3 linked regions of the Notamacropus eugenii genome follow. The protein of the gene in region 2 binds, or shares a complex with, the protein of the main gene of each other region. Links are inferred from orthologs where the notes say so. Each region holds a gene or a part of one and is shown on either strand. Other genes may lie near its edges.

Region 1 (3,748 bases), on a different chromosome or scaffold from region 2:
AACCAAGAGAGAGAGGCAGATCTCACCCAAGGGGGAATTCTCCAAAGTCTCCAGTGTAGAGAAGACAGGCATAGAGATAGGACTGAGGTTCTACAGCTGGCTTCGTGGACTTGTCCGTCCTGCTTCTCAAAGCTGGGAGCCAGAGGAGCCACTCTTCCCCAGGTAGGGGGCCCTGCCTAGGCTCAGTGGGGGGAGATTCACGCCCCTGGCCCTGCAAGTCAAATGTTACAAGCGTTCTTGGTTTCCTTTGTAATCGTACGTATTTTATTTTAAGCATTTTTTAAAAGGGGTTTCAGCAGAGTACTAAAGCGTTCATTACACCGAAACGTTTTAGAGTAGCGTTACAATTCACCCTATCTAGGCTGATACAGTATCATGATAGGCAATATTTCCAATACATAGAAAAATCTGACAGCGGCCTCCAAAGAGTGACAATAAAATTTTGGCCACGAGTAAGTCCTGTTCCACCTCAGCACGCGGAGCAAGCCTAACCCTTGCTGTTCCCACCGGAACACCGACAGCCTTGGGAGGACAGCCGGCCTGGGTTCTGATCCGGCGGGCTCCCTGAGCCTTCGGGGGGCGCACGCGGAAGCGGGCCCCCTCCTCGGGCCCGCAGGGGCAGCGGGTGTCAGCGCTGGGACGCGGCCGGGCTGTCCGCATGACCGCCACCCCCAGGGCCCGGAGCGGGCCGGGCGCACGTACGAGCCGGACTGCAGCCCTCCCGCCTCCCTCCCCAATGCCAGGACTCGGGTTCTAGCGCTGGGTTCACGCCGGTGTTACAGAGCCCCGCCCAGGGTGCCAGGCCTCTCCTGGAGGATCCCCGGGCTCTGGCTCGGCCCTGGGGGTATTTTCCAAGGCCTGACATCCGGGTCTTTCCGAGGCTGTGACGGGGTGCGGGGCCCCCGCCGGACTGAACAGGGGATATTTAGTGAGGGAGAGAAACTGGCTTCGGCCCGGGCCTCTTAGGGCCTGCATGTGGGGCAGGGGATCACGTCTCCGGACCTCAGTTTCCCTATCTGTAAAACAAAGACGTAGGTCTAGGCCGCCTCTCAGGTACAGCTAACGCTGGGCACACAGACCTCCTCCATTGGGCCTCCGCGGGAGGGTGGTCCCCAAGCGCGCAGGCGCCCGGGCCCAGCCTGTGGCCCCGCCCCGCCAGGGTTGCCATAGGAACCGCCGCCTGTTGGGGTGGGGGAAGGGAGGCCGGGCTCCAAGGGGAGCTGAGGCTTCGGTGGGTTTCGGGACCCGTGGAGAGAAGCCATGGAGCTGCCCTTTCCGGTCCGGCAGCGGCTGATGAACTTTAGCCGAACCGTGTTTACCGACACAAACCGAACCAATCCAGAATCCAGCCTCAACTTCTGTGAGTGGCAAGGGCCTTAGGAGAAGGGGCTGAGGGCGTGCGCGGGCAGAAGGGGGCGGGAAATGACGTTGGGGTCGTGCCCACACTGAACATGGCGGCTCGGTCTTCAGCGGGCTCTGACGGGGCGGGGGAGGAGGGGGTCCTTCCCTCCAGAACCCTTCCCCGATCTCCGATGACGGGGTTTGGGACTGACTGAGGCCCCCTTACTGGGACAGGAGTGAATCGATCTGGCAAGTCATCGATTAATTAATGGTGCCCGATGGCAGCTGTAACGCCTCTGGGCCTGAAGGGGGGAGGGCGAAGAGGGCTAAGTTCAAGTTCAAGTTCAAGCTGAGCGCCCGGCGCGCTCTGCTGTCTCGCTACCTCTTTTCTGAGACTAGAAATGACCAACTAGTTGCGTGAACACAAATCCCCAGAGGAAGCTCCCTAAATAATAAATATTTAATAAATATTAAATCATAGGTATGAGCCCCAAAAAAGAGAAAAGAAAGGAAAAAAATCGAACATCTCAAAAAGCTGTGCTTTTCTGAAAAAAAAAATGTGTTTCTGGTGGCTCTCCTTATTTTCACGCAAATCTTGGGGTGCCTGGTGTGGGGGAGGGGAGGAGCGCAGAGGTCAAGTTCCCAAGGGGGCCTCGAGCCCGGAGGTCCGGAGTCTTGAGGTCTCCTCTGGCCTCAGCTTCCTTCTTGGCAAAGGTGCTGCAGGGCTCTGCCATTTCCTTCTCCAGGTCATTTGACAGTGGGGAAACTGAGGCACACAGAGTTCAGTGCCTTGCCCAAGGTCACTGTTGCTGAGGCAGAATTCGAACTCATGACTCTCTCTGGGTGCCTGGCACCTCCCTTCCAACCCTGAAACTGGTGTTTTCAGCATCATCTCAGCTCTATTTAAGACCTTAGGATGCTTTATTTTAACTAGAAAGCAACACTTTGTACCGTTTTCTGCTTTCTGTTCCTGAAGAAATCAATATTTGATTTTTTTAACTCTATACTCAATTTTTATCATTAGAGATTTTTAGCCCCATGTATATCCATCCTAGCAACTACCATGCAGGTCCTAGAAAGGATTAGACAGGCTGGTTGATTTATCTCTCAATAGGTTTAACATCTTAAGGCAATTAATGTCATTAATATATGAATTTTTTTCAAGGACTGAAGTTTGAAAAATATTTTTATTGTTAAGAATAGAAATGTAGTTGCTTATTTTAATATGTTGTTGACAATTATTTAAAAAGTTCCCCTGTGGAAATCCACTGTGGTGTAGAGGACATGGAGCCAGACTTAGAATCAGGAAGACCTGGGTCCAAGTCCTACCTTTGACAAATACTTGCTTTGTGACCTGAGGAAAGTCACCATCCTAAACCAGGGGTGGGGAACCTGCAGCCTTGAGGCCACGTGTGGCTCTCTAGGTCCTCAAGTGTGACCCTTTGACTGAATCTACACGTCATAGAAGAAATCCACTTAATAAAAGAATTTGTTCTGTAAAAAACTTGGACTCCGTCAAAGGCCACACCGAAGGCCACACCTGGAAGACCACGAGTGGCCTTGAGACTTCAGGTTCCCCAACCTTGTCCTAAACTCTCAGTGCCCCAGGAAACTCTGTAAACATTACCCTGAAGTTCAGGTGCTGACCTAGCATTGGAAGAGGAAATTTCCTCACAGGGGGTTCCTTATACCACTAGAATGATGAATAAAATCTTCTGTCCTGCAAACCCCACCCTCAAATCCATAGAGATATAGTAGAGGGGTAATATTTTATTTAAAAATTTTTAAACCTTTGGAATGTTAAACAACTAAAGAATATGGATTATTTCAAAATATATACTTTTTGCATATGAAATTTGGCCTCATTATTTTGGAACTTGGCTAACTTTGTACTTGAATTCATAGGATCTGTGTTGCCTCCTTTAGGACTTTCTGTTTACACAAATGAAAAACATACTGCATCATAATCTCTAGTGACTAGTAATTTCTTGGCAGAGCAAACTTATGATTGGTATGGTCCTTACAACACTATGGCAGTCATGGCAATTGTGTTATGGAGATATTGAATCCAATGATGTGTACATTTCTCCTCCCCAAAAGCTGCAATAAAATTAATCATAATTATCTGTTATACTTTGAGGCCACATATTGCCTGCATGAACAGGGAAAGACCCAACAGACAGTAATTACAAAGTGATGATATACTATACTATTATTCGCTTCCTAATCACCAAAAATAGCCAGTCTCTAGAATTGAACCCAGTGTTTTTTATATAGCTGACGCTTAATATATATTTATTTAATTAATATTAAGGCCACTATTCCTTCTTCTGGTAGTGGTTCTAAATTAGCACAAAATTTGAATTAAAAAATATCATAGCTCCAGTTCTTCTAATAATGTGGATTT
Region 2 (3,748 bases):
AGAACTTGGCAGTCGCCATAAAAACGTTGGCTGTTTATTATTTGTGTATGCCCAGGACTTAGATCGGCACAGTGACTGCTGCACAGTAAGCACCTTATAAATGCTATAATATAATTTGTGTCTGGCTTAATTTATCTTCTCGGACCTGCCTTGCCCAGGGGCACGGAGGCTCGAACTCAGGTCTTCCAGACTCTAATTAATCCACAATCTCCCAAAGTACAGAGTCCGCTCCTGGGGGCAGGGATGGGGGTGGGGGGGCAGCCGCCAGGGATGCGAGAAGTAAGGAAGGGAGGGACTGAGGTGCGGGAGGGGGCGGGGGTGAGGTTTCTTCTCCCCTCCCCCTCCACCAGGTGGCCCCATTTCCTCGCCCAGTTAGTAGAGGCAGAAGAAACTTTTCTCGCTCAGTCTAGAGGAGAGTCAAAAAGGGCGTGGGGCTGGGGAAGACTGGGTTAGGGGGGCGCTACTCCCCCATGTTCCCCCCGCTCTCGGGAGAATGAAGGAAAAGAGGAGGAGGCCGCGGCTGTGTAGGGAGAAAGGGCGACCGCCCGGCCCCGCGCCCGCCGCTCCTTACCCGTCTCCCGCGGAGGGCCTGAGGAGACGCGAAAAGCCCTCTCTGGACGCCGGTCCCGCTGCACCCTCCTCCTCGCCCCTCTGAGAGCGAGCGAGCGCCGCCGGAGACCCGCCAGGGACGTTCCGCACACTCCTCAGACTCCAAAGACTTGCCGCACTGCACGCCGGGAACTGCACACCTCCGTGCGCTCGCCCAGAACTACATCTCCCGTCATGCGCAGCGCATTCCCCGGTGCACTCTGGGAATCGGAGTTCTCGGTTCATCTCCGATCCCAACCTGTGGCGTTGAGACCTCGCTTAGGGCTGGGGCCGTAAAGCATCGCCTAGCGGTCGTGAAATGTAGGCTAGTTCAGCAGTTCGGCATCCGGGACTTCGGGCTGGATCGGTGGTGGCGCTCTACATATCTACGAGACTGGGGCGAGGGGGAGGGAAACCTTCGGGTCGCCTAGCAGCCGCTGCCGCCGCTCTCCCGAGTAGACCCGCTGTGTAGGCGCGGCGCGGGCGAGCTGGCCCGGGCTGAGAGAGGACAGAGCCTCCTCCAGGAGGGCGGGTGCCCTGCGGGACTGTTCCTTCCGCCACCTCCTGTCACCGGTCAGTGCAGTGCGCCAGGGAGCCCTCCCGACTCTCTCTCTCTTCTCTCCTCCAGGTGCCCCCTGCCCAGATCTTACACCTCGTGCGCCAGGGGTGGATGTTGCTTCCCGAGTCCTGGATTAGGAGTCAGCCTGGAGGGTTGGGAGGTCCGCAGGCATCTCCCCGAATCGCTAGGCCTCAGTTTCCCCCTCTGTAAAGCAGTTGGGGCATCTCTGAAGACTCCTTTTAGCTCTAAATCCGTAATTTCTTTTCCTGCTGCCAGGAGCAGAGTGATGCATAACCTGGATTGTGGGAGCTACCTCTTAATTTAGCGAGTGACCCCTACCCCCTTCCACACCCATCAGAACTGGTAAGAATCGGACCCAGTGTATTTTCACGAGCTTTCTTCCGGGGACCAGACCTCTCACCAGCCTCACCTCTGCCCCCTGGCTTCTTCCGTGCTCTCAACCAAAATCTTACCTTCTACAAGCCTTTCCAGCCCCATTAAGTGGTTGGGGAGGTGCCCTCCCCTCCGTGGTTAGCTACAATGTATCCTTCGTGTAGCCGGTGTGTAACATAGTTACTTTCTTCTGCTTTCCCTTTAAACCCCCCCCCCCCCCCCCCCCCCCCCCCCCCATCATTAGACGCCTTGAGGTCTTCTTGAGTGAGCTACTTGAGGGTGTGGTCTGTTTTTGCTTTGTTTGCTCAAATTTTAGCAGCGTGCCCTGGCACCTAATGAATACTTATGGACTTGATTTGGTAAGGATACCTCTTAACGTCTTTTCTTACAGGGGGTCATCCAACCTGTGACAGATCTCCAATGAAGGGAACGGCCCCTTAGGGCAACTTTTGGAGGCAGGCAACAGGTGGGAATGCAAAGAGTGGTGAAGTTAGAAAGGCTTGGGTTCGAATCCTGCAAGATATTGCTCTGAGCCTCCGTTTTTTTCATCTGTAAAATAGGTTTGTTAATAACTCTTACCTCACAAGGTTGTTGTGAGGGACAAGTGAGATCACATGTAAAAACATGTTGCCAACCTTAAAGTGCTATAAGCATATGAGTTGATATTGTCATTATTACCATTTTCATCTTTATAGTAGGTTGTTGTTTTGTCCACATGACCCCAGTTGTGTGCGCAGATACTGGAGTAGCTTGTCGTTTCTTTCTTCAGCTCATTTTACAGATGAGGAAACTGAGGCAAACAGGGTTAAGTGACTTGCCCAGGGTCACACAGCTAGTAAGTGTCTGAGGCTAGACTTGAACCCAGGTCAACCTGACTCCAGATTTGGTGCTCTGTCCTTCTAGCAACCCAGTGCTCTCTAGGTCGGGGCAGGTAGGTGGTGCAGTGGATAGAGCACCAGTGCAAGAGTCAGGAGGACTGAGTTCAAATATTGCCTCAGACACTTGATACATTCACTAGCTGTGTGACCTTGGGCAAGTTGCTTAACCCCAATTGCCTCATCCTGGGTCATCTCCAGTCATTCTGATGAATATCTGGTCACTGGATTCAGATGGCTCTGGAGGAGAAGTGAGGCTGGTAACCTGCACAGCCCTCCCTCACTCAAAACAAAGTCAAGTGCAAGTCATGTCATCATTTCTCTGATAGCATGGTCTGCTTTGGCAACAAAGGACGAACAGACACATACATGCTCTGTAGGCCTCCTAAAACCTTCATTTGTACAAAAACAGTAGAGAACAAGACAGCTGGAATGGTATGTACCTAGTCCCATTTCCGCTTGATTGTGATGAAACCAGGTCTCTATATTTTGAAAGTTTTTTGTTCCAGGTAGTTTAGAGATTATGAGTATTTGTGATGATACCATCTATTAAAAACATTTTTATGAATAAGTGTTATATTTGGGATGTTATATAGAGGACAGTATGGTCAGTGATGACTGTTCATTCCTGTTTTGGTCTGTGGAGTTGTCTAGGGTATTTGGAGGTCTATGTAACATGGAGATTTGTTGTCTGTTAATCCATGAAAGACAGTGCATTTCTGATGCATAATTTTAGCCAGCTGGTTGCATGTTGCTGGGTATTCTGTGGGTGCTAAACTTTTTACAGCCTCTGCTGTGTTTCCCTATACCATTTTCTTGTATAATCTACATTGATCACTAAGTCTGGCCTTATTATTATTGTTTTTTGCTGTGATAGTAATTCCCATTATTGGACAGTTTTTCCTTAACATCAAGTTTGTCTCTTTGCCAATAATTCTCATTACTCATAGATTTTCCCTTTTGGAACTTAGGAGTCAAATCGCTGTGATGTTAAGTACAGACCTACAAAAGAGGGTTATAAATTTAGAGTCAGAAAAGATCTGATCAGTCACTTAGTCCAACTTATTTATTTTAAAGATGAGAAATTGAAGCCCGGTAGGTTAGATGACTTACTAGAGGTAACACAGGCAACAATGGCAAAGTCAGGATTTGAATCCAGATCCTCTAACTTGAAATCCAGCATTCTTTGCACTGTGCCTGATTGCATCTAACTAACTGTAGCTGATCTTTTCATTTTGTTTTAGTGAATTTTGCCCAATTCTTGTTTTCTTTTGTTTGTGTGTAAGGTTAACAACATAATGTGGAACTTCACCCCGTCAGGGGGGATTCTTAG
Region 3 (3,748 bases), on a different chromosome or scaffold from region 2:
GCTTCAGACCTATTAAAAAGTGCCAGACTTTTCAACTCAAGCCTAGCAATAACATGTGAAATTTCTGATTTTGTGTTTCTATCTCTCAAAAGTTAAAAATGCATAGGTATCCACTCCAAGCATTTTGGGGGAAAGAAGAGGGAAGGGGTCAGGGCAAACAGCCTACCATAGTTATCTCTTTTCTAACCGTTACAGACTTAATCCCTGGATTTGCATATGAACAGGAACTCTCAAATGGATCTCACTCAGTTTAATCACACAGTGAACAAATACCAAGAATCTTCCCCAAGTAAAGTTGTAATTGTGAAAATGAAATTTGGCTTTAAATTTTAGGAGAAAGATAACACACACACACACACACACACACACAGACACACACACACACACACACACACACACACACACACACACACACACCCTCTCTGTTTTACTGCCGACCTTCTACATTTCTACTTATTCCCACCCACTCTACTATCTATAATGTACAAATTAAAAAAAAAAGACACTTTAAAATATTTCAGTCTTAGGTTCCTCATTCTAAGACGCAGTGCGGAAAGAGTATGGATTTGGGAGGATTAGGGATTCAGAAAACCTGGGCTCAGATCCTGCCTGGGACACTTTGTGACTGAGCAAATCACTCAATTACCTACTCTGTAAAATGGAGAGGGTGGTCTAGATGGCCTCTAAGGTTCCTTCTAAATGTAAAATGCTATTTTCATAAGCAACATGGGCATTGGACCGAGGTCCAATCCTAGGAAGACTTGGATTCAGGTTCTGACAAGCTGTGTGACCACGGGCCAGTCACTTCACGCTGCCATACCACTGACTGTATGAGGTCATCTAATCCAATACCTTCATTTCATAGAAGAGAAAAATGAAGGCCAGAGAGGTTGAATGACTTGGCCTACAAGGAGCAGGGCCAAGATTTGAACATCCTCCAACTCCAAAGCCATTGTTACTTTACTTTCATTTAGTCACTCATGGGTAGAAGGGATTTTTACATGGGAGTAGACCACTCCCCTGACCCCCCAAAAGTCCTGAATTTAAAAGCAAACATTAAAATGCCATGTACCTGCTGAAAGACCAAAGGCCACCACTGCACCTAACACCCTGGGGTTCAGCTGTATCCAACTTCTCATGACCCCGGGTTTGCTAGGCAGACACTGGAGTGGTTTGCCTGTGCTTCCCCAGCTGATTTTACAGATGAGGTAACTGAGGCACACAGGGTTAAGTGGCTCAGTCCCACAGCCAGTGAGGTCCCAGTCTGAACTGACGGTGCCATCTAGCTACAGCTCCACACCGTCTTTTGCTAGGCGTCTGTGGCCCTCAGCTGCGTTTCTCACAGACAGACAGGACTGTGAGAGAGGATGAGGCCGGCATCCCTGCTCTTTGGCCACACTCCGCTGGCCCGCAGGCAGGCGCACAGGCACTGACACACTTTCACACACACGCGGGGGCACAGGCACGCCAACACACGTGTACGCAGACCACGCACAAAGACAGCAGGATTCCTACAGACACAGCCACACTCACACGGACACTCCTACACGGACACAAATACGCACACACTCGTCCTCGTGCACACCCACGCGCGCACATTTCCACACGCGCTCCAGCCCTCGGGGCAGACTAGGGCGGGAAGCACCGCCCCGCCGGGAGTCGGCCTGGTCCCCGGCGCCCGCACGCCCTCCCTCTCCCAGCCCACACCTCCGGAGCGGAGCGCGGCGCGGCGCGGGCTCGAGGCGGGGGCTGGGCCTCGGGCCGGGCGGCGGCGGTTGCCCAGGAGGTTGCGCTGGACGCGGCATGAGGCCGGAGCCCGGGCCCCCGCAGGAGGAACCCAGCCCGGTGAGCCGCAGCGGTGGTGTGCTGGGCGGGGCTGGGGGGTCTCCGGGGCGTTATCTGGGGGCACCCCGCCCTCTCGCCTCGTTAGGGGTGCGGGGCCCTAGGTCTCGGGAAAGGGCCGGTGGCGGCCGGCCGGCTTGGGCGTGCGCTGCCATGACGACGCCCCGCCCTCCCAGGGCCACCAGTTGGGGTCCTCCTTTTCCACTTCCGCTTCTGGGCCTCTCTTACTCCGACCGCTTTCGCCGCCCACCCGTCCCGGAGAGCTCGGTCCGCCTGCGGGGAGGCCGTCATTTGCGCCCAGTCTCCCTTGGCTTCCCTCCCTCTCCTCCGGTCACACCCACGCTTCTCTGTCTGTCCCACTAGCTAGACCGGCGGAGCGGGGCCGGGCCTCGGGGGCGGGGCCTAGTGACGCAACGACGCACGGCGCGTCTGGGCCCTCCCCGCCACGTGTTAAGTGGCCAGTGGGCGGGGCTCGGGCTGGAGTCTTGCCCTGCTGCGGGCGCTGCCCGGGGCGGGCTGTGCGGGCATCCCACTGGCGCGCGGTGGCCGGCTCCTTCCGAGGCGGGCCTTAGATGGTATGGGGAAGAAACAGGTGGTAAGCCTCCGTCAGTGACTTGTTTTCCTTTGTTTCGCACGCCGTGACTGGGGAGGGGCGTCGTGCGTGGGTGTGCTGGCTTTGGGTGATGAGAGGGCCAGTCCCTGCCGGCCTTCCCGCTGAGATCCTCGTGATCCATTGGTCCTGGGAGGGAGCCTGGACCCAAAACGATAAATGAGGTCTCTGCGCGTGGCCTGTGTGCTGCTGTCGCTTTTTATACAACCGTTTTTTAATTTGTCTTCTTATTTTTCATTAGCATTGCTGTTAGTATAGTATTGAATATATTAATAAAAGCTTTGTTCAGCTAAGGACAGAGTTTAGGAGGAAAGTCATTAGCACTTATCCTTTTCGATATGCAGTATTGTTCCTGCACTAAACATAAGAGAAAAGAAATTAATGGGCATTTTCTTTATTAGATCTGTGATTTCATTGGTATCAGGAACGTCCCAACAGACAACCACCTCCACCAGTGCAGAAGTGTTAAAACAGTGGTCTGCAAAGCAGGGCGTGCACACACCGGGAGGGTGCATGAGTGCTAAGAAAATGTCAGGAAACAATTGTTCAGTGGCTGCTACGTGCCAAGCCTTTAAGTGCTTACTGTGTTAAGTGCTGGACATATACAGAATGGCAAAAAAGCAATTTAATCTAATGGTAACCACCACCTGACTCAACCCCTTCCATCCTGGCCAGGGCCCAATGTGGGCTGTGCTGAATGGTCAGCCATTTAAGCTCCTCACCATGCAAGAAGGTGCAGGGAGGGGGTGATGGGAATAAATCCTTCTTCCCGAAGTCCTTGCATCCTCCTTGCCTCTACCCCTGTGACCCACTTTTGTAAGTCGAAGGGTACATCTTCCTGGCCTGAGCTTGGCATACTAGTTCCTTGCTGCCTGTCCAGGCTCTTTTCTAAACTCCCTCACCCCAAAAAGAATGAGAGGCTTACACTAGACTGGAGGCATCTGCAGCAAGGAGAAGCCAAGAGGGTCAGGCCCAGCTGAGGTGATGGCATTATAAATGGAAGTGAATATATCAGCATTGACAGCTAGCAAGAGTTGGGAGGCAGCAGGGGTGGCTGCAGTCAGTGGGCTTGGGGATCAAGCAGTCAGACTGCCGAGAACCCTATTATTGCCCCCAACCAACCAGACAGCTTCAAAGTAAATGAAGGCCATTTACAGGTGGGAAACCAAGGCCTCCCCAGGCATCTTGCTGTGTGTCCTGCTTCCTTTTTCTTATCTGGAACAACCACCACCCTCTAGATCTGGGACCTGATCCCCAGAGACCATGTCTCTCACCCCTTGACTTGAGGGAAGAAGA

Evidence for each region.
Region 1: CEP290 (region 2) and TMEM17 share a complex: the UniProt entries of both Homo sapiens proteins name them as parts of the tectonic-like complex. The link is inferred for Notamacropus eugenii from reciprocal best matches to the Homo sapiens genes CEP290 and TMEM17.
Region 3: CEP290 (region 2) and TMEM237 share a complex: the UniProt entries of both Homo sapiens proteins name them as parts of the tectonic-like complex. The link is inferred for Notamacropus eugenii from reciprocal best matches to the Homo sapiens genes CEP290 and TMEM237.

Annotation. Positions count from the first base shown.
Region 1 is NC_092872.1:642,117,627-642,121,374, forward strand, and holds the start of TMEM17 (transmembrane protein 17), read left to right. Parts: upstream 1-1,159; 5' UTR 1,160-1,260; coding exon 1,261-1,360; intron 1,361-3,748. UniProt on the Homo sapiens protein: Transmembrane component of the tectonic-like complex, a complex localized at the transition zone of primary cilia and acting as a barrier that prevents diffusion of transmembrane proteins between the cilia and plasma membranes.
Region 2 is NC_092874.1:270,073,132-270,076,879, reverse strand, and holds the start of CEP290 (centrosomal protein of 290 kDa), read left to right. Parts: upstream 1-896; 5' UTR 897-1,161; intron 1,162-1,423; exon of another isoform or gene 1,424-1,510; intron 1,511-1,931; exon of another isoform or gene 1,932-2,006; intron 2,007-3,748. UniProt on the Homo sapiens protein: Involved in early and late steps in cilia formation. Its association with CCP110 is required for inhibition of primary cilia formation by CCP110.
Region 3 is NC_092877.1:297,805,207-297,808,954, reverse strand, and holds the start of TMEM237 (transmembrane protein 237), read left to right. Parts: upstream 1-1,463; 5' UTR 1,464-1,803; coding exon 1,804-1,845; intron 1,846-2,276; exon of another isoform or gene 2,277-2,414; coding exon of another isoform or gene 2,415-2,451; intron 2,452-3,748. UniProt on the Homo sapiens protein: Component of the transition zone in primary cilia. Required for ciliogenesis.